Linked DNA regions of Lonchura striata. The protein of the gene in region 1 binds, or shares a complex with, the protein of each later gene. Links are inferred from orthologs where the notes say so. Each region holds a gene or a part of one and is shown in the gene's direction. Other genes may lie near its edges. The genes, in order: PTPRG, CNTN6 and contactin-4.

Region 1 (7,084 bases):
TCATTTATTTTTATATCTTCATCAATCAAACAGCACAGCTCATTGCTATGATTATATTGAAGTAAAGCCCTCTCTTTTATCACAGCACTTTGCTTGCCCTCCACCTCTGGCTCTCAGCAGGTTCTCAGATGCCTTGTTAAGACCTTCAAAGCCTCACAGCATACTCTGAGAAGAATGCATCTGTCCTGAGGCTATGAGAAACTAATTCTGCAATAGTATAATTTATGAAACTCAGCATCCTTCTTTTCCTTTCCATGCAAAGCTGAACAGGAACTAGGGCTGCTGAATTAATCTGAAAGTTTATACATCACATTACTTATAATCTGAACTGTAGCTGCTTCTTCATACTTCATGTTGAATTATCCTTTCAGGGCTAGATCCTCACCTGGTCTTTTCCCCACAGATTAACCATTCCAGTGAGGCTGGCTGTAAATCAAGGAAAATTCATCCTTTTCTTTCTAGTCACAAAAAGAAGTGTAACTTTGTCTACCTGAATTTTTTCTTTGATTTTTATTTCTCCAATCCTTTACATAGTCATTATAGATGTTAAGAAGCCTGTTTTGGAAATGATTAATGCTATTAATAATTTTCTAATTCAATAAAACCTCTCATCTTTGAACTCCTTGCAATATTTTTCTGCTTTCTTCAGCTTTTCACTAATTCAAACATATGACAAATACAACACTTTGTTTCAGTTTTCTATTATTTCTCATGTCTGATCAAATAAATTAACAGACTTTCATTTCTTTCCCAGGAGTCATGCCTGTATGTTGATGAAGGTAGCATAAAAATATTACTTGTTCAAACAGGAGGGGGAAAGAAGGATAAAAGTTATCTTTTATTCACTGTTCCAAGCAAACCAGGGCTGCTTGTCCCATTCCTCTCACCTTGACATCACCTGCTTCGCTAACCATAAGTATTGCAAGATTTGCAGAGCACCCACTGGCCTGGTTTTGCTGCACTGGGGTATGTGTCCCCTTTCAATCCCTTCAATACAGTAGCAGCTATTTGAATCACGCCAGCCACAGTACTTCAGTCACTGGGAAGAATCAGCTGTGCTATCTGGTGATAGATTTTTATATTCTGGTGTGGCTGCTCCGAAGCCAGGCGGCCCAGCCCAGCAGAGCAGCATCCTGCTAATGCAGTTTGCTGTGTTTGGGTAGTTAAAGATCCGTCTGCAGGCCAATTTGTACCTGTGTATTGTTGATAGACAGCGTGCCTCGGGCACAGAGATACTGCATGCAGGAAATGGATTCTCATTTAACCGTGTTTAATTTTGTTCTCTGCATCTCCATCATCCATCTTTCCATTTCTCTGCCCACCCAAATTGCTAATGCGAAACAAAGCTACTTCTGCCACCACAGCTCCTAAAGTGATGTGTGACGATGCAATGATTGATTTCCCACTCCAGGAAAAGTGGGTCATTGTACATGTTGTACCACAGCAGGCTGAACCAAGCTGGTCCTGCTGACATTGGGCTTTTACAGATTTGTTTTAAGAAGTTCAGACCTGAGGCGACTACTGTGAATATCCAGCCTGAACACCTTTGGTTTTTGATGGGAGCTCTGCCATTCTAAAATCTTCCTTAGCAGCTTAGAGAGATCTGAAGTCATCTGTGCTCCTCAGGAGACACTACTCTGATTATGCATTTTATATCTTACTTTCATGTTTGCACCAAGAATGGAAAATGCAAAATTCCTCCAATTCCAAGATATGGGTCCAGTTTCAGGTTTGTCATAGTCCAAGAGAGAAAACCCTAAACGAATTTAAAAATATGTTTAAATATAAAATGGTGCAATTAACAGCTTTTCCAGAGGATTTTGAATTAGTTAGAAAAATACTAATTCAAACTGCTCTTTGAAAAGAAATCCACTGCTTTTACTCTTCTTTTGTGATATTGCAATAGTGTGTGATAACTTTTCTCATGTAATGAGACCTGTTGAAGCCCACTTTTAGATTGAAACACCTTAAGATTGCCTCTTATGATGCCAGGGAGACATCATTTGAAGAGGCAGGTCTCAGTATTGGTGTAGAACCTGCCTCTCTATCTGCTGAAATAGAACAGCAAAATTGCAATCAGTTGCTGAAAGGGGAATATTTTGCAGGTTTTTTCTGAACAGCCCAGTAAGTAACCGAGCCCAGATGTCACGGCAGAATCCAAAAGGTCAAGGCAGGAAGGGATTTGATTTTGATTTTCATAGAAAAAGAAACATCAGGAAAATTTAGCTCTTAAAATTGCATCTTTGTTTTTATAAGAGTTGAAACCATGTTCTGGGAAATGATTTAATGGACAAGCTGGATGAGTCCTTTCTCCAAGGCCTATAAATTTTTGTTCTGCTTTAGACAAATCTATACACAAGTACCTTCTCTAATTTTTGCACACCCCAATGGGTAGTGTCCTCAAGGGCAGAGAATATCTAATCAGGTCCTAAAATCCTTACACTTGAAAAATCCCTACTGGGACGAGCAGTTTTGGCCAATAAGGACAGCACCTTTAACTTCAAATGTGATTTTTGGCAGCCACGACCTGGTATGTGGGAGAAAGTCAAAGGAAAGGCTCCAAATGTCTCCTGATGAGGGGCCCTTTGGATGCAGCATAATCCACTGCCTTGGCATCTTGTGCTGAGTGGGGTAAACCTGGATGGACACAAAACCCCTTGCAGACAGTGCTAATTACCTGATGGCGCTGCTTTAGTGACCCCTAAGCTGAGGAAGAGGGAGAGAAAATCACTGCCATTCCACAAATGACTTCTGTATTTTCCTACTCTGTTCCTCCTCCTGCCGACCATCTCCTCTCCTCTGGAAACACCAGAAATGTGGAAGGTTTGCAGGTAAGTGAAGAGGAGCACAGCAAATGACAGAGCCAGAAATTTAAGCATCAGCAGACCACAGCAGAGCCAGGAAATACCAAGTACAAACAACCATCCCTTCATCCTGGACTCACACCATTTTCTGCTTCTGTTTCCTGTGCACAATTATCACCCATTCAGAAACTGCCGACGAGGCATGGAGCGGTTGTAGATGCAGAGTGGCTTGGGATAGCCTTCATCTGACTTTACAGAAACATCAAATAATTCTCTCATTTTGAGGTAGCTCTCTGGAAATACGTAGTATAATGCACAATATTGGGGAAAAAAATTAGCAATTTTGTGGGATGCTTCCAGCGACACCCAGAATGATGAGTATTACTGGGGGAGGAAAAATCTACGTGATTCTGGGGGTAGTGGGGGTGGAGGTGTCGCTTGCAGTACCCAAAAAGATACATATCACTGGAGAACAAAATCTGTATGATTTCCATGAGGATTTCTGGAAATACCCGGCACAGCCCTGAGCTGTGAGATTCGAAGGGGATGGGAAACTGCGTGGTTTTGGGGCGGGGAGGGGCGGTCGGACCCCTCTGGCAGCACCCGGAGTGATGCACACAAGCCGGGGGGGCACCACGAAGGACAGGGCCCCCTCTCAGCACGCACCGGCGGGCGGCACAGCGAGACGAGAAACTTCCAGCAGACAGCGCCGGGGCGAAAGCGCGGAACCCGAAATTGCAAGCGGCGAATTTCCGCGGCTCGGCGGCACGCCGTCCTCCGCGACTACACGCACACAGCCGGCGGGGCGGGAGCGGGAGCGCGCACGGGAGCGCGTCCCCGAGCGCGCCCCCGCCCCGCCGCCGCGGCCGCTTTAAGGGCGGCGGGGGCGCGCCGCCGGGGCGCCCGGCGCGCCGCCGCCTCTCCTCGCCTCGCCTCGCCGCCGCGCCGCGCTCTCTCTCCCTCTCTCTCCCTCGCCCCGCTTTAAAGTCTCCGCCAGGATCCGGGCTCGCCCGCCACTTCCTGTACGGCAGGATGGAGCGCGCCGGGGCCCCGGCTGACCGCCGCCCGCCCGCCCGTGCGCGGAGGCGGCTGTGAGCGCCCCGTCCGCGGCATGCGCGCCCCGCCGCTGCTGCCCGCCTGAGCCGCGCCGCCCCGCGCCCGCCGAGCCGCGCGGGGGGGTCCCCGCGCCCCGCCGGCGCTCCTCGCTGTCCTCCCCCTGCCCCGCGCTTGGGGGATTTTTTTTTTTTTTTTCCTCGTAGAGAAGGCGAGCAGGAGCCCCCCGCTTTCTCCCGCAGGAACAGGGGTGCGGGGAGAAACTTATTTTCAACAAGTTTTTTTTATTTTTTTTGCCCCCTCCCTCCCCCCCCCTTTTTTTTTTCCTCCCCCTGTGTGTTAATTATTTTAGCCCCATTCCCCTTTCGATGTGCGGCTTTGGACATGCGGAGGCTACTGCAACCGTGTTGGTGGATCTTTTTCTTGAAAATCACCAGCTCCGTGCTCCATGATGTGGTGTGCTTCCCCGGTGAGTGAGAGCGGCGGCTAGGGGGGCTCCCGGTGCCTCGTCCACACGTGCCCGCGACCCCCGCAGGGAGCCGGCGGGGCATCCCGCGGGCGCGGAGGATGCGCCAGGGACCGCGGGGGCCCGTTTGCCGGGGCGGCCCCAGCGTTGGGTGTCCTCCCGCTCCACAGCACTCTCCCGGCTGCGGGCTGCGCTGCCCGCGAGTGGGGCCGTGCGTGGAGCACGGGCTCGGTTCCGCGCTCCCGGCGCGCTGTCCCCGGTCTCCGGTGCATTGCAGCGCCCGGCGGCGTGGGGCGGGCGCGTGTGTGGGGGGGTCCTTGCGCGCTGCTGTTCTTCCGTGGGGCTGCCTGGAGCTCCCTTTGTGCTGCGGGACCGCCGCTCGCCGCCCCGAAAGGCAGCGTGACTCCGCGCTCCGACTCCGCGTCGCAGCCCCCCGGTTCCCCCGCCAGAAACTTCGCGGTGCGCGGGTCTGTGCCCTCCCCACCCCACTCGTGTCCGCGGTGGGGGTCTCGCCGTGCCGCGTGCTGACCTTGGCAGGGCGGGGGGGAGTCCCGGGAGGCTGCGCCTCCGCACCGCACCGGGGCTAGAGCTGCGCGGCCACCGCCGCGCACCCGCGGGAGAGCGCTTCCGCGGGCGGGGGGCACTCGGCGACCACCATACAGTTCTCCCCCCGCTTTGAACCCCACGGCCGGTGCCTGCGTATCGCTTCTCGCCCCGGCTCGACCCGCGGGGCTGGCGTGTGACGGGGCCGGGTGGGCGCTCCCCGCCGCGGGACGCGCGGCCCCGCCGCGGCCCCGGCCCGGGGGAACTCGCGGGGCTCGGGCTGCGCCGCCTCCCGCCGCAGCGCCCGGGCCGCCCGCCAGGGGCGCTGTGGCGCCGCCGGCGCCCCCGCGGGGCGCGCGCCCCTCCGGCGGCGCGCAGCGCGGGCCCCGCCCGGCGCGCTCCCGCGGCCGCCCCGGGCACGGCCGGGTCCCGGGAGGGGCCGGGGGTCTCGGGCGGTCCCGGGGGTCTCGGGCGGTCCCGGGGGTTGCTTTGCCCGGAGCTGCCGCCCTCCCGGCGGGGATGGGGCGGGGGGTGCGCGGCGAGGGGCCCCGGGGGCAGCGCGAGCCCCTCTGCCCCCGCCGCCGCGGCTCCTCCCGTCCTTGCCGTGAGCTCCCGAGGCTGCCCTGGCTCTTGTGCGAGAGTCCAATGAAATAATTAAATTCTGGAGGTTCTATAGGAACTTTCACTTATGTGTCCTTTTTTTTTCCTCTTTCTGGAATACCCTTTTTTTTCCTAACACCAAATGCAGAGCTAAGCAGCTAGACGCATCCCATTCCTTCCAGCAGCTTCTCACATGGCAAAATGATTCGAAGCAAAAAGAAACTAAGTTGGGGAGAGGGTTAATACCTCTGCAGCTTTTGACGAAACATTTATCTTCCTTGTATTGATTTCTTCTCAATTTCAGCCCTTGGAGTGATGCCTTTCTCTCTGGTTCTGATATGTATTGTATAGTAATTACATCTAGAAGGCAGGCTTCAGGAATGCTGCAGGAAAACAACCCGATGTTGGTTTAATATGACAGTATTGTATGACTTGCTGATTTAGATCAGCGATGTTTGAACCAGATAATATTTGCATTATGGTTCGAATATGAAGATGGATGCAAGCAGAGGGTAGTAGGACGCTTGCAGAGTGTTGGTAAACTCTTTAATGCCAGAAGCCATAAAACAGCTGTGTAATACTCGGGAATGTTTCGGGGCCGTTTGTTGCTAAAGGTTTGCCTGGAAAGCAAACTATTTTCCAGAAAGGCTTTTATGCCTTTAGTTTTTGTACAGAGCTACCATGAGCTTTCCTCTGAAGAGCAGCAGTACCTGGTGTGCGTGCAGCCGAGGGGTGCGAGGGAAACATCCTGAGAAACGGGGACGCCTCCCGCGCTGGTCCCGCTCTGGTCCCGCTCTGGTCCCGCACCTCAGCGATGCCCGAGGCAGGAGAGCTGCAGCGAGGATCTCTGTGGGCTCTAACAGGACTTTGGTGCCCACAACATCCAATGGCAAATCATCGGAATTTGTGTTGGCAGGGAATCCCGGCCGGTTATTAACCATTTACTATCTATCACAAATGCTGCTGTATCTTTTCACAGTGTTTTCTAGAGACGATTAAAGAAGTAAGGTATTTGTCAGCTTGGTTTTAATTTGTAAGCATCCTTCTTCCCTGTGTTTCATATCTGGCTCCCTTTAAATGGAAGAGAGGTCACTACTTGTTTTCTCCCCTGCGAATCACTTTACTTTGTGAGAAAACATAAAGGCTATTCTTTTCTTTGTTCAGTAACAATAAATGAACCATGTAGAAAATAAGTCTTTGCAGTATTTCTTTGTTACTAGTGTTGTAGTAGGGCTTCACTGTTTAAGTAGGTATTTTTGTTGCTGTTCCTTTGGTTGCAGTAAGAGAAAGGAGTCAGTCTGGCAGAAAAATATGTGGGTAAGGGTTTCCTCTTTCTGAACAGTTTAGTGCATTTCTCTGTGGGCTTGTCACTGGTAATTGCATTGGTTAATAAATCAAACCAAGACAAGGTAAGGGGTTGTTTCCATGGGATCTGTTTGCTCATTAATCTAAATTCACAGTACCAAAAATCAGTAAGACATAAATAGTAGCATTAAGGTGATATCCTTACTATCTGATTTCTTGGTGCTTTGCCAAGAGAGAGTAAGTATTTTTTTGTAAAGGCAGAAGTACACATTTGTGCAGTTTTTAGCTCTTCTTTGACATTCCTGTTGTCTAA
Region 2 (7,425 bases), about 5.1 Mb from region 1:
AAAAAAATAGCAAAAGAAACACAGGTATAAAAATAAAAGCAAAAAACCACATCTCACACAAAGACCCTGAAGAAAAAAAGAGATAAGAAAGTTCCCCACATTTTATGAGTAGAAGATCATGGCAGGATTAGCCACAAAGCCATTAGAAAGTCTCACTAAGGTCACAGTGATTGTCTGGAGAGCAAAAGTTGTTCAACAGTGATTGCCCTTCAAAACACAAACCAGTAACACCACCAGCAGTAACAAAAATAACCACCAAAAACCTTTCTACTTCTTCTTGCTTATGCTTTTAAAATTTCCTTGTCCAGTCATTTCCAATCGGGGCTGTCCTGGTGTTAAAGAGCTTCCAGTTCCATCACAGGTAAACCTCCAGCTATTGATCAGAGCATTTCCCACCCCAAGAACCAGGACACAGATCACAAACCTGTTTTTCTGTGGCAGCAGAGCAGCTGGGAGCACAGGAACTACTCAGGCTCCTCTCAAATCTTCACTCCAGGCTCAGGAGGTCACCTTTGCTGGGGGGATCATTAATAAGCTGCACATTTTGCAAGGATTAACACCCACTAAACCTTGGCATTTATTCCAGAGACTGAGATCAATGGGGCACTTTAGCACAGGACTAACAACATCCCTGAGCTGCTTCTTTCCCTCTTTAATCATCTTTGGAGTTGGGGGTACATAGACAGCAGTTCAGAGGGTTTGTTTTCTGGTTTATTTGTAGAGTTGGGAACTAATTAATCCCCTTGTTATCAAAGCAGAGCCTCTGATTGGGGTTGTCCATAACTCTAAAGTGGAGCCCTGAACAAACCACATGGAGACAAAGCCTGAAAGAGCTTCGTGGAATACAAACAAGGGATAAAGTAGCCTAATTCTGATTCTTTGATGGATCTAGTGTGGGAAAGAAGACCAATACACTTTATACTTTGAATTGTATCTTTTTGCACTCGGCAAATAAACTGTTTAAACATTTATCTGTCAAACCTGCAGATCTCTTTTTTCAGTGTCATGTCTCCATCATATGCGTGTGCCCCAAGTAAAATAAAATCTACAAAAGCTACAGAAGAAACAACTATTGCATATGAAGGTGTATTTCCTATAATTTACATTATTTTTTCTGTATGAATGTTCTTCAATATATATCACAGTGCTAAAACACATGCAGAAGGCACTTGATGCTCTTTGCAGTTGCAGGGGGAGAGCAAAATAAGGATTTTAAAAAAATAATAGTAATAAAAATTATTTACACAAAAGGGTGAAAATTGTTAACATTGCTTCCATAGCAAATCCCTTTCCTTTTTCTGGAAGGTTGTATTTTGGAAAATGATGCAAAAGGAGAGATCCTTTTTCTGGAGCTTCATTGCTGGGGTGGTTGTGCCGCCTCCCTCCCTCGTGGTGATCACTTGCCCAGAAGTCATCAAGAATTCAGGTTGGTTTGGTTTAGTTGCATTTTCTTGGTTTCTCTGCTTCAGCAGCAAACTTTTTGGGGAATTCAGAGTGCAATAATCCATTTTGGTGGGACTTCAAGACCTCTTTTATGCAAGAGCTGATCATTCCCCAGTGCCTGTGCTGTTCAACTACCCAGCCTGTCCAGCAGCTCAATTTAATTCCTAGTACATTTTAATTCTTACAATGCAAGTGAATTATGATGGATTTTTGCTCTCAGATTTCCAATATCTGTCTCTAACAAGACTTGAAGGAATATTCAAAAGACAAAGGTGGTGTAACTCCATGAATCTGAAATTACATCACCTCTGTATTGAAAAACAATTGCAAAGTTGCATTCATGAAAAATTACGTTGAAACTTACTTTAGAACATGTCTAACAGGACTGAGGGGAGACAAAGCCAATAATTTGGGAAATGTTTACTGATTAGCACTGTAAAATTACTTAATTCACTCTTACTTGAGCAGTGTCCTGGATTCATAAAGAGGAGCAACCTGGGATGGGTGGAGGTGTCCCTGCCCCACGGCAGGAGGTTGGAATGAGATGATCCTTTAGGTCCCTTCCAACCCAAACCATTCTGAAATTCTGTGATTTAGGATTTTAGAGTAACCACAACCCTCTGCATGGGGTCAACACCAAACAGCAATTCAGGTGGGTTAATGCAAGAATGTCAGAGCAGAAGGTGGCTCTGACTGAGTAAAACACCTCACGGGATGGGATCATATTCCTTTGTTTGAAAAGACTCATCTTGGGTCTTAAATTTTGCCTTTGTGGTCGCAGGGATTTGCCCTTGAGCAAGCTGATGCTTGTGCACAGTGGAGAGTTTAGATGATGTTAGTCCTTGATGTAATTCAGTTAAAAAGTTGATAAAGACATCCTGGCTTTGTCTCCTGTGTCTGAAGGAGCCACAGGCAGCGGGAGAGCTCCTGAAGGCACACTGACAAACCCCGCGTGCATCACCCCAAGGCATCTCCAATTTCCACGAGCAAACAGAGCAGAAAGTGTCTTCCAGCCCGAGTTTGTGCAAGAGACACCTTGGCTCAACTTCTGATTCCCTCCTGTCTCCCAGCCTGTGCTCCTGATGCTCTCCTGTCTGCTTTATAGACCAGATCCTATCTCCCAGGTATTTTTAGCCTACAACAGCGTCCTGAAAGCTACACAAGGACACCGTGCACTTCATCCTGAGGCAGGGAAACTTTTGTCACTCCAGAGCCAAGTTTTGAGGTGACTGGAGGCCCAGGCCAGGCTGCTGAGGTTGCCCCAGTTTGCAGGAGCTGTCTGTGCTCTGACACTGTCAAAACCCCAAGAGAGGCAGCCCTTCCTTAAAGGATGCACAAGTTTTGTTTAAGGGGTTTCTGACAGCTGGAAACACGACAGTCTTTTGTTGGTTTGGTTTTTGTTATTTTTTTTGATCATCAATATTTCCTTTGGTTTTGTTTCTTAGTGTTTTTTTTAAGTGTTTTTGTTTTTGGTTTTTTTTGTTTGTTTGTTTGTTTTTTGTTTTTTTGTTTTCTGGTAGAATATCACAATTCTTTAAAAGCAAAATATTTGGCAAAGAAATGTTGATCTCGATGAATTTTTGTTTTGACAGGGTACCGGGCAAAGCCACCAAATTTTGGTAACATGCAAATGCATTATCCTGACCTCTAGGAAAAGACTGGTTTAATATTCAAATGTATCATCACTTTCTGTGTCATTTCTCAAAGATACAGGCAGAATCTTTAATAGGAAAGTTTTAGCAGCATTAATTTCCTCAGCAATGAAAAATTCTGTTTCCAGTCTTGTTCAGCAAGAAAGGCATAAGGAAATTATTTTATTTTGACATAGAAAAGGCTAAATTTTTAATAAACTTTTTAAATTGGCTACAAGAAGCTTGGGTTAAACTGTTGCAAGCAACTTTTAGTCTATTTACTCTTGATACCACTTAGAAAAAGCCCTGTAATTATTTAGAATAAAATTTTTAATGAGGAAATACCTAAAATTCCATTTTAAATTTTGTCCCTAATTAAAAATGGAGCTGCTAATTATAATGCCTATCTCCTTTAGAAGGTGCTGCAAGGCTTAATTAATTGTCAGTAAAGCTCATTTGAGAAGCTCACAGGAAGAAAAGTGCAAAATTGTTTATGTTAATCAGGAGGAGAGCTCTGAATGGGGCTGGCAGGGCTTGCTGGGCACCTGTGGGCACATTCCAGGGAATGCCATGTGCTGCTGTCCCCATTTCCCACCCCAAGAGCAGAGCAGGACAGCTGAGGTGCTTCCAGCATCATCAGAGAAGATTCCAGGTGGGCTGGAGAGGGACTGGGGACAGGGGATGGAGGGACAGGACACAGGAATTGTTCCCACTGCCAGAGGGCAGGGATGGATGGGAGATTGAGATGGAATTCCTGGCTGAGATGGTGGAGAAGAACTGGGATGGAATTCCCAGAGCAGCTGTGGCTGCCCCTGGATCCATGGGAGTGTCCAAGGCCAGCCTGGGATGGTGGAAGGTGTCCTTGCCCATGCTCACTGGATGAGCTTTAAGGCCCTTCCAACCCAAACCATTTGGGAACTCAGAGAGAAATTCAAGTTACTTTTCTCACTAAGAGAAGGGGACTCCCCTGCCTGACCCTGCCTTTTCTCTGCTGAAGGAATCCCAAGAGAGAAAATGGAAATCCAAGAAGGTTTGAAGTTCAATCACAATTGATGTCTGTGCTACTTTAGACAAGCAAGTCTCCTCTCCCCTTTTTAACTTAAATTTGTTTAATATGCAACATACGAAGGGGCAGTTGAGTGCAGAGGTCACTCAGGGCTGGGATGTGATTGAAGGGACAGCTCCCACCCCACGGGCTGAACCTTCCAGAGCTCAGGACACGGCTGTGGGGACCAGGACCAAACAAAACTATTCCCACTCCTGTTCCAAGCCCAAGCCCATGCAGTGACCCAGTTTTTGAGGAGAGAGGTTTGTGATTACCTGACAGGAGCTCATATTTGTACGAGAGGAGCAGCAAGAGCACATTTAATCTTTCATGCTCCGCTCTGACAGCTGCGCTTTCGCTCGCTCAGCTTTCTTGAAGGATGAGCCGGGCAGGGCTGATTTTTCCACATCCCGAATTTCCAGACAGGGATATGCACAAGCTGTAGGAGCTGTTTGTCTGATTGAGGCGCCAATTGTGCAGGTTCTGGCTTGGAGCAGCGTGGGGAAGGCAGCGCATTTCACGCTTAATACCGGGGAAGAGACACACGCAATGCTCAGCGGATAAAAGGCTCGTGGTCCCAGCTGGGAAAACAGTTCCATTATCTCCCAGCTGCACAGACCTTCCACACGGCTCCGTTCTGCCTGGCTGAACAGCCTGCCTGCCTGAGAGCTCCCCACAGTCCTGCAGGAAATTGTAGAGATCCTGAGACCCCTCGCTGCTCGGAGCTGTGAGTACAGAACCGCGCTGGCTGCTGCGGTGTGGACGATGCTGGGCTTGTTGGGATTTTATCCTTCCTCGCTCGTTTTCATTTGCAGAAGGGGGAGAGAAAGGGGGAAAACTCACTGCTTTATTTCTCCTGCGTGGCTGTAAATGGCTGATGCTCCAAACGTGTGCGGTCTGGGCAGAAAAGGAGGTGTGGGATGAATTTGTATGCGTGTGAGGGTTGAGGCAAGCAGAGCCCAGGCTGTGCTGGCCACGGGCACCACAGGTGCATCACCGAGGAGATCACAGCTCCGTGCTGCAGTGAAACGGGCAGCACGGAGCATGACAGTGCTAATTCTGGCACTTCCAGACGACTTTCTGCAGCACGTCAAAAGCTGAAGTGGGTAATGAGAGCCTAACCTCATTTCTGCCAGCTGAAGGTGGAAAAGCAATAAACGTAAATTTGCAGGAAAATGTAGGTAAGTCCTAAAAAGAAAGTTTTTCCCTGTTGCTCGTTTGAGTCATCAGAGGAAAATATAAAGCAAGTTCACAGCTTTGGTACCCAAAGACCTGCAGGAGTGTTAGTTTGGATATTGTTATTTATTTACACTGCATGACACAGCTTTAAAGGATGTGATACTTTATCAAAAGTTTGGAAAGTCTGCTTCCAGAAGCAAGTGCCTGACTAGAGCTTTTTGTTAAATCAGATATTCCCATGGTGCTTTTGGGGTGAATCCTTGGATTCAGACAGTTGTTGCATGTGGAAATGGGCTCCTCCAGCAGCTTTTGCAGGAGCAGGATGCTCCAAGCTGACAATTTCCTGCAGCACTTATGGAGCTGAATGAACAAGCAAGATGCAAACACTCTGTAAATAACACTTACTTGTCCTTTTACCAGCACTGCAACCCTTTGCAGATAAATATTGTGAGTCAAAATCCAAATATTTACTCCTCTGAAGTAGCATTTCCACCTCCCCTGTTATTTTTCTCCCCCAAAGACAGGAGACTTGTGACTTCCACACAAAGTCCTGAAACTTCAGAGATTTTTTCTGTGTGCCACTAAACCCTGCAGTGTTTGCAATTCCAGGCACCACATCCCCACAAATAACCCATCTCCATCAGCCAGCTTTGCCTGTGGTGCTCCAGAGGCACTGTGTCAGTGTTTCACATTCCACAAGTCTCTGCTTCGTAGGTTTTATGACACTAAAAAGTCCCAAATCAGTACCTCTATGAAGTTAGCAACAACCATAGATCACATTTTATCGTGTAAAAAAAGAAAAATAAAAAATCCCCAATGTTTGCAGCTGTGGTTTTCAGATGCTGGTGAGGTACTGCTGGCCATGGATTACAAGTTTTACCTTTCATGCTGAGGATAAAATTATAAATAATCCATAACCACCTAAGTGCTTTAAATCAAGCAGGAGCCATGTCTCCTTTCCTTTGCTTCCAGCTTTATGACCACTATTAAAAAGGTTTGTGGTGCATAATAAGCTACCCTAAAATTAATTTCTTGCCATTGGAGCAAGTATTTCCCTCACAGAACAAGGTACCAGTGTGCCCAAGGGGCCTTAAAACATGAAGTTGGGTGGTTCAAAGCACTATTTGTGTTTGAACTGAGAATTTTCACTAGAAGATATTTTGTGAGTACGTGGGAAGAGATCAGCTCTACGAAACAGCATCAAATTTTTATTTCCCTCCCCAAAACTGTGTTAGCTGCGTGTTACTGCAGTATTCCTTCTGTGAAAAACTGAGTTTATTGCAGAAGATTGCCACAGATTGGCCTCTGCTCACCTTCCTCAGGGACACAAAAAACATCTTAATGGTGTCCTGCTTGTCCCCAGCCTCTCACGCTGTCTCTGGAGCAGGGGAGGCCCTTGCAGAGGAGGAAAACCAGCAAATATGGCCCAAAAAATCATTTATTCCTTCTTCCCAAGGGCTGCACTCAGAGCTGGCCATAACTCTGTGCTTGGGCAAGTTCAAAGCTTCGTCTGTCTCCAGGAGAAATGGAGACACAAAGAAATTCAGGCCCAGTTTTACAGCTACAACTCCCTGTGTGGCAAAAACCATCCCTGGGACACACAAAGAACCCCAGACACAGCAGAATTTAGGTGATTGGGTGACCTTATTTTCATCCAAAACAACCAGGCTTCACAAGTCTCTTATTTACACAAAGGTTTTCAGCAAATGCAGAATATGCAAGGAAAAAATAAAGAACTTGAAAAGGGAACAAAGCATCTTCAAGTTCCCTAATCACAGTAAAACAGAACAACCCAAATAAAAATAGATCCGGGCACTGTACTTAAAAATTCCCCATGTTTGGGGGAAAAAACCACACACAGGTGTGAGAGAGAGAATCAGAGGTATGGAAACCCTACTTGGAGCTAGGAAAGTGCTAAACACACCAGGTCAGCACAGAGCAGAGAGCCAGCAAGACATTTCTGCACAAAAATCCCTCATGGGGGCTTAAACTCCTCAGTTTCAGAGGCTGGAGGAGAAGCAGTGAGGAAAAGCTGGAATTTTTCCATACCTTGCTGCCCTCAGCTCTGTCTCCTCTCCTCCAAAGGCTCGTGGTGCAGAACCTCTGGCTGTGGCTTTTCCTGGTGGA
Region 3 (7,287 bases), about 5.5 Mb from region 1:
ATGGAAAGATTCTGGACTCAGTCTCTACTTAAACTGAGTTTTTTAAACTATGAAAGACTTTCCCAGCTATGATGTTTAGGTCCTTTGCTGCGCTCCTTGATTCAGACAGAACTGCTGTTGTCATCCAGAGACTTTATAGACCAGAAGAATTTGGAATTAAACTAAAGAAATTAAGATACCTTTAGGAATCTGTGCCTTAAAAGCTGTTTTTTGTGCTTGGACGGTGAAGTTTGTGAGTTTAGATCTTTGCTTCTCAATTATTTGTCAGTGCTAAATATCCATATTTTCAAAATATCCTGTTGAAATTAGCACTAGCTGGAATATTTGGCCAAAAAGGGAGGAGCAAATACGGAATGTGGAGCTCTGAAACAGTCACTGATTTATGCTGGCACAACACCAAGGGTTTGCTTCAGTTTTTTCTCTGCTCCCAAGCAGGACATCAGCCTTCAGGGCCATTTATGCACCACTTTTCCACTTCAACCTTGTGGAAAGGATTTATTTCCCTACAAATCCCCACCTGTGGTGTCACAAAGCTGTGGACTCAAGATTATTTACAGATCCCACCCACAAATAATTCTCAACCGTTTGCTGATGACACTTTTCTTACTGCATCACATACAAAATTACCAATTTGATGCATTGTCCTAAAATGAAACTCATACAATGCAAAGCTGGTGATGATAAAAAAAGGGCAGATTTCTCCAAAATTCCTTGTGAGCTGCATTGCTCCCTGAGATATCACCGAGATACAAGCAGGACTTCGACAAAACCTCAGAGGACTTTACAAATAGCCATCACCAAGTGAAAAGAGCCTTGGTATTTTAATTAAAGGTCAGACAAAACCCCAGTGCAAGCCTTGGGGATGTTTTGCAGCAGTCATTTAAAGCAGAATTGCTTACCAAACTCTTACTGTATCAGTAACACCGTGCCCAAACCTTTCCTAAGATTTACACAAACTGCAGCCTAAACACAGGAGCCTCTGCCAAGTTCAGGCTGCGAGTTCAGCAGCCATAAATCACAGCCTGTGCCTGCTCCACCTCTACTCCTGGTTGTAGCAGCGCTGCAGGGCTGTGCAGGGCTGTGTTTACTCCTCTGTGCAGGCACACATGGGGTTCAGCCTGGGGGAAGCCTATTTGGGATTGCCTAAAAACAGAGGCCAGACAAAATTAAGGGAATAAAAAGTTGTTCTATTTATTGAAGGGTTTCAGGTACATTTAGGATAGCCCCAGGGGCTACACCCAGGGTTTTCACACTTTTATAAATTTGGTCCATTTGGATATTGGGGGTGAATCTGCCAATTCCAGCTGCAGGTAATGAAGTCACTGACCCCAGGTTTGCTCCCCCAACTCACTTTTGTTCCCATCTCTCTGGCCTGAGGCAGTGAGGGGTCCTTGACTGCCAGGCCTGGAGAGGAATTGTTGTGTCTGCCCCAAATGGGGAAGCAGCAGCTCACACTGAGTGTGGAGTTTGGAGTTACACCCTGAAGAACCGCAGGGTGACAAATAGATGGAAAATAGAAAAGCTGAAATTTTAAGGCACCATGGGGACTCTCCGTGATGGTGTCCCAGGGCAGGACTTGGGGCCAGCTCTGCCTCCTGCGTGGCTCTGTGCACACACACACACACCAAACACACACGTGGCAGCCTCCACGGCAATTCAGAGTGGTTTGTTTGTGCCTAATTAACACGGGCGTGCTAAATGTCCCGGTGATGCTCCTGCTGTCAGTCACGTCGGGGCAAGAGTTTCTGAAGGTCGCTCTGTAAGGCTTGATTCAAAGTGTCAGCTCTGCTGCTCCAACCCAGCTTAAAAACCCGCCAGGCACTTTTCCTTGCCAGATATATGAAGTATTTGAGATTATTTGTTCAAGAGAATATGTCTGAATTTTCAACGGGAGGCGTTGATTGCTGACTCTTATACCTTTGGCCTTATTTGCAGATTTGTTGGGGATAAAAAAAATCAAAAAGCCGGTGACCTGGTTTGCTTGTTCACTCAAGGGTGAGTTAAAGGTGTGCAGGGAAGGTGGCACAAGCAAAAGGCTTTCCAGGGAAGCCATCTGTCTGCTCCCACCGCCGCCCTGCCTTCACCTTTCAGCTCTCATTTGCTGGCTTGCCACCCAGCCGAGGGTGGGAGATGTTTCTCCCCGCTGCCTGCGAGGACGTTGCACGCTCAGCTGGGTTGTGATGATGATGGTGATGCATTCAATGCATGCTCCCTTTGACAAATTCGGCAGCGTTTCCAGCCTGATTTCCCTCCAGAGCCATTACACCCCACGCAGATTGGCAGCGCCGTGCCACGGCGCCGGGATTGATGAGGTGACCTTGGAGACACAGGCGCTCCCAAATTGAAAACACTTGGCGCTCAACTTTATTTTGGATTGCTGAGCAGGCTCCCCTCCTGTATAAATCAGGAGGAGATTACACAAATAATACACAACATTTATATAGCATTTCAAACCACCAGGGGATTCCTCCATGCGTGGCTCAAGTGCAGCACTCCTGCCTCCTCTAGACTTCGATTCGCTCTTGGGCCCAGCCTGAAACTCTCAGTAGGACCCAGCAAAGGCAGCACCAGCCCCTCCTGCTCTCTCCAGGAGCACTGAGCTGTGTGGAGGGCCATCCTCCATCACCAAGGTTGGATGATCTTGGAGGTCCATCCTAACCATGATTCCATGACAAAGGAGCTGAGCATTCCCAGGACAACAGAGGTACCCAAGGACTGCTCAGGATTGTGCCAGCCACAGCTGGTCCATCAGCCTGGAGGTGCTCCAGGTGCTCTCACAGCTCCACGAAGGGCTCACAGCCCCTTGGACCTGCAGAGCTGACCCTTGTGTGAGGTTCAGCCTCACTCCTGAGCTGCCCAAAGAGGCTCTGATAGGTGGTGAGGAATCACCCGAGTGCAGGCACGTCAAGGAGGAACCTGTGAGCAGCAGCAAACCCCAACCCAACTGCACTAACGTTAATTGTCATTCCGTTTCTATCGACATGCAGTTTATTAAACCATAAAGCAAGGCAGCAAGCACAGAGAGCAACTCCAGAGATAATTAAACATAATAAGGGTTTCACTTAATCCCTCAAAACCCAGGGGAGGCACAGTTAAGACTGAATACGCTCTTTGCACTGCGAGGCTTTTTTTTGCACAGGCATTTAAGAGTGCTTCCCAGGACAGGATTTTGGGACGGGGGAAAGGTAGGTCCCACATTCACTTCTGAATATTTTTTTTCCCCCCTTTCTGTGCGCCTTCACATTATGCTGCTTATTAAGCCTGAACTCATGACTTTCAAAGCAGTTTGTGGCTCATCGTTTGCACTGCAGCAGCAAGCAGAGACCCCGATGAGGGATCCTGAGGAAGGTGTGGGAGCATCCCTGGGCACAGGGAGGTCAGCAGAGCTTGGGAGCAGCCGGGCTGGTACCCAGGTGTGCTGTGCTCCTCATCTCCCTGCACTGCACACGCATTTCTTGGACGAGGAGGAGCGGGAAGGGGATGGAAGGAGACGGTGAGGGCTGAGCGAGAGGCTGGCAGAGCAGGCGGGTGAGGAGAGGCTCCCTGTAAAGAGCGAAATAATTACGGCAAATCTGGGATTAAAGCCGGAGGGTAACGCGCCTAGGGGGAAGTAAATAAATAAACAAAAGCCGCGAGCGGAAATTTGGACTTCTGTGGTCTCCTTTAGGGGGACCAGGGCTGGTCGGGGATGGGGAAAAGCGGCGAGCGCGACTGGAACGGGCTCGGAGCTGCCCGGGGTGCGGGTGGAGCCGCACCTGGGCTGCAGCAAAGCGAGCCGGGGGCAGGGCAGGGGATGGGGCTGAGCACCGAGCGCTGCCGCATCCCTGAGTGGGAGCCGGAGCATCCCTGGGTCAGAGCGGGCACATCCCTGAGTGAGTGCGGGCACATCCCTGAGTGGGAGCCGGAGCATCCCTGGGTCAGAGCGGACACATCCCTGAGTGAGTGCGGGCACATCCCTGAGTGAGTGCGGGCACATCCCTGAATGAGAGCAGGAGCATCCCTGAGTCAGAGCGGACACATCCCTGAGTGAGTGCGGGCACATCCCTGAGTGGGAGCCGGAGCATCCCTGTGTCAGAGCGGGCACATCCCTGAGTGAGTGCGGGCACATCCCTGAGTGAGTGCGGGCACATCCCTGAGTGGGAGCAGGAGCATCCCTGAGTAAGTGTGGGCACATCCCTGAGTGGGAGCCGGAGCATCCCTGAATGAGAGCGGCCACATCCCTGAGTCAGAGCGGGCGCATCCCCGAGTGAGTGCGGGCACATCCCTGAGTGGGAGCCGGAGCATCCCTGAGTAAGTGCGGGCACATCCCTGAGTGGGAGCCGGAGCATCCCTGAGTAAGTGCGGGCACATTCCTGAGTGGGAGCCGGAGCATCCCTGAGTAAGTGCAGGCACATCCCTGAATGAGAGCAGGAGCATCCCTGAGTAAGTGCAGGCACATCCCTGAATGAGAGCAGGAGCATCCCTGAGTAAGTGCGGGCGCATCCCTGAGTGAGATCCGGAGCATCCCCGAGTAGGAGCCGGAGCATCCCGGCAGGCGGATGCGGGGATGCTCCCCCCAGGCTGCTCCAGGCGCACCGGGCGGCCACCGGCGGGGCAGGAAGGGTTAAAGCGGCCGCCGCCGCTCCGCCGCCCGCCCCCCGCGCACGGCGGGGCCGGGGGTGGGGTCTGCGCGGAGCCCGCCCGGCTCCCGCCGCTGCCGCTCAATGCTGCGGCCGCGGGGCTGCGGAGCCGCGCTCGGGGCTGCGCCCGCACCCGCGGAGCCGCGCCGGGCCGGGCATGTCCCCCCCTCCCCGCCCAGGTAAGCGCGGCTCGGCACGGCACGGAGAGGAGGGAGGCAGGTTTAAAACGGGGGGGAAAAAAGAAAAATAAAAAAAAAAAAAAAAGAGAAATGGGGAGTAAATAAGGGATTTTTAAGCAAGGCTGCGGCGCGGGGGAAGGAGAGCGCGGGCGGGATGCGGAGCCGGCAGAAGGGAGCGCGGTGCCCGCCGGGGTCCCCCCGGTGCCCTCGGAGCGCGGAGCTGCCGCGGGGCGCGGAGCGGTGCGCGGGGTCGCGCAGAGCCCCCCGGGTGGGGTGGCCGCGGAGCACCGGACCCAGAGCGGGCGCATCCCTGAGTGGGAGCCGGAGCATCCCTGAGTGGGAGCCGGAGCATCCCTCAGCCCGAGCATCCCCGAGTGGGAGCCCGAGCATCCCCGAGTGGGAGCCGGAGCATCCCTCAGCCGGAGCATCCCTGGGTGGGAGCCGGAGCATCCCTGAGTGGGAGCCGGAGCATCCCTCAGCCGGAGCATCCCTGAGTGGGAGCCGGAGCATCCCCGAGTGGGAGCCGGAGCATCCCCGAGTGGGAGCCGGGGCATCCCTGAGTGGGAGCCGGAGCATCCCTGGGTGAGAGCCGGAGCATCCCTGAGTGGGAGCCGGAGCATCCCTCAGCCGGAGCATCCCTGAGTGGGAGCCGGAGCATCCCCGAGTGGGAGCCGGAGCATCCCTGAGTGGAACCCGGAGCATCCCCGAGTGAGAGCGGGCGCATCCCGGAACGCGGACGCAGGGATGCTCCCTCTAGGCTGCTCCAGGCGCTCGCAGAACTTTTTGCCGGCTCCAGCCGCGTTCCCGGCTGGAGTTGAAGCTCCTTTTGCTTTCCCCAGGCTGCTGCTGCTCCCGTGTCGTGAGCAACATACCGCAGCGTGTTGTTTTATTTATCCCAGACAGGAACGGCTTGCGCTCGAAACTACAAATTAAAGGATGCTGCTTGCATAACAAGTGGCAATAGTTTGTATCTTACATACTAATTACCCGTCACCTTAATTTAGGCTAAGCCAAAGAAGGGTTTTTTCCCCGAGGAGGGCTCGTTCGATAGAGCAGCCTGGTGTCGTGGAGCCACGTATTCCTCTCCCCTGGCTGGATGAATAATGTGGGCAGAGGATTAAGAGCCAGCACGCTGATGAGGCACCCTGGGGTGCGGGGAAGAAGGGGGCGTTTGGCTGGAGGCAGAAGTCAGTTTTTGTGGCTGTGTTCGTCCATCCTCCGGTTTCCATGGCTCGGTTCGGGACCTGCATCCCAGCGGTCAAACCACCGAGGTGGGAGCGGGGACTGGTGGCAGCTCCTCTTGCGATGGTCGCGATGCTCCGGAGCTCCTTTCCGACATCCAGCACCCCCTGCCCCGCAGTGGGTGGGTGGCTGGCTGTGCCCCCGTGCTGGCAGCGTGCCCAGGGGTGCCGTGACCCATCCCCGTGGCTGTCGGAGCCCCTTCCCTGTCCCTGTGGCTCCCGCAGCAGCTCCAGCCCAGGTGTGCAGGTCATGCTGCAGCCGGGCTCCACAGCCAGCACCGAGCGTGGGGAGCAGGATGATGGTGGGGGGCTGCACTTAACGGGGTCCCCTAGAAGCTTTTTCTGGCTGGGAAACTGAATTTTGCTTCTTTTCTGGACCTGAGGGAGCTGCGTTTTTACCCTGCGTTTGTAAGTCCCTGAAAACTGCTTAAATGGCTCTTGAATAATCCTTCAAAGTCACCTCCCCTCTTTAATCTAATACCAAAAGGACTTCGTTTACAGGGCTAATCCCTCTTTCCTTGCTGTACAGCCTCATTTAGAGGTGTGCACACTGCTAATTTCCCCTTGGCAGCCTGCTGGAGACAATGGCTTCCACTGGCGAGCAGCAACCTCTCCCTCCCGTGCTGAACTCTGGGCACAGCTGAACCCCTCTGACAAGAATTTAGGGGATTTTAGGAAGCCTCCCTTCGCGGGAAGCCACCCCAAACTCTGGGTGTGTTTCTCAACACCACTGAGGTGTTTAGAGGCTCTGAGGGTCTCCTGCCTCAAAACCCCACAGTGCTGGGTGGTGGGAGTGGAGCGGGGTGTGCCTGCAGGTAGTTGGAGTTGAATGATCCTGGCAAACCTCTGGAACTGGAAGGATTTTCCCATCCTTTTGCAGTGGAGCTGAGCTCTCTCCCAGCCCGTCTGGCGCTCCCAGAATTTTAAGCTCGTTCTGCTCTGCACAATGACAAAACGTGTGTAGGGAATGTGAATGACAGCAGAGGAGCAGCTCACCTGTGCAGGCAGCCTCCTGGAAAACGGGCTGAGACGCTGCAGCCTCCAAAGCCTGGCTCTCCATGGGTTAACAGGGATGCCTGAGCTCACCCGGGATGCTGAGGAGGGCAGGCGTGCCTGGGAGGGGTGAGTGTCCTCTGCCCTGGGCCACAAGGACACGTCTGCCCCTGGGGTGGTTCCCTGAGACCTCAGCCATCCTCCCCCAGGGGTCCTGCCTTGATTTTCCAGTGTTAATCCCTGCAGTGCTTGATT

The links.
Region 2: the proteins of PTPRG (region 1) and CNTN6 are in contact, whole or in part, in a crystal structure (PDB 5E5U), measured with the Mus musculus proteins. The link is inferred for Lonchura striata from reciprocal best matches to the Homo sapiens genes PTPRG and CNTN6. Residues at the interface, in NP_033007.2 of Mus musculus: Val225, His226, His227, Lys229, Phe288, Thr290, Gln292, Gln293, Asp294, His295, Val296, Lys297, Ser298, Val299, Glu300, Tyr301; in NP_059079.2 of Mus musculus: Arg129, Val132, Arg135, Gln138, Gly139, Val140, Val141, Leu142, Leu143, Cys144, Gly145, Met222, Gly223, Tyr225, Glu226, Pro227, Lys228, Glu230, Leu252, Asn306.
Region 3: the proteins of PTPRG (region 1) and contactin-4 are in contact, whole or in part, in a crystal structure (PDB 3KLD), measured with the Mus musculus proteins. The link is inferred for Lonchura striata from reciprocal best matches to the Homo sapiens genes PTPRG and CNTN4. Residues at the interface, in NP_033007.2 of Mus musculus: Lys222, Val225, His226, His227, Lys229, Phe288, Thr290, Gln293, Asp294, His295, Val296, Lys297, Ser298, Val299, Glu300, Tyr301; in NP_001103219.1 of Mus musculus: Thr128, Arg129, Ser130, Val132, Ser133, Arg135, Gln138, Gly139, Met140, Val141, Leu142, Leu143, Cys144, Gly145, Val219, Met220, Gly221, Glu222, Tyr223, Glu224, Pro225, Lys226, Glu228, Leu250, Asn304.

Annotation. Positions count from the first base shown.
Region 1 is NC_134614.1:16,766,336-16,773,419, forward strand, and holds the start of PTPRG (receptor-type tyrosine-protein phosphatase gamma), read left to right. Parts: upstream 1-4,050; 5' UTR 4,051-4,241; coding exon 4,242-4,326; intron 4,327-7,084.
Region 2 is NC_134614.1:21,914,239-21,921,663, forward strand, and holds the start of CNTN6 (contactin-6), read left to right. Parts: upstream 1-4,342; 5' UTR 4,343-4,846; intron 4,847-7,425. UniProt on the Homo sapiens protein: Contactins mediate cell surface interactions during nervous system development. Participates in oligodendrocytes generation by acting as a ligand of NOTCH1.
Region 3 is NC_134614.1:22,248,622-22,255,908, forward strand, and holds the start of contactin-4, read left to right. Parts: upstream 1-4,185; 5' UTR 4,186-4,290; intron 4,291-4,697; exon of another isoform or gene 4,698-4,798; intron 4,799-7,287. UniProt on the Homo sapiens protein: Contactins mediate cell surface interactions during nervous system development. Has some neurite outgrowth-promoting activity. May be involved in synaptogenesis.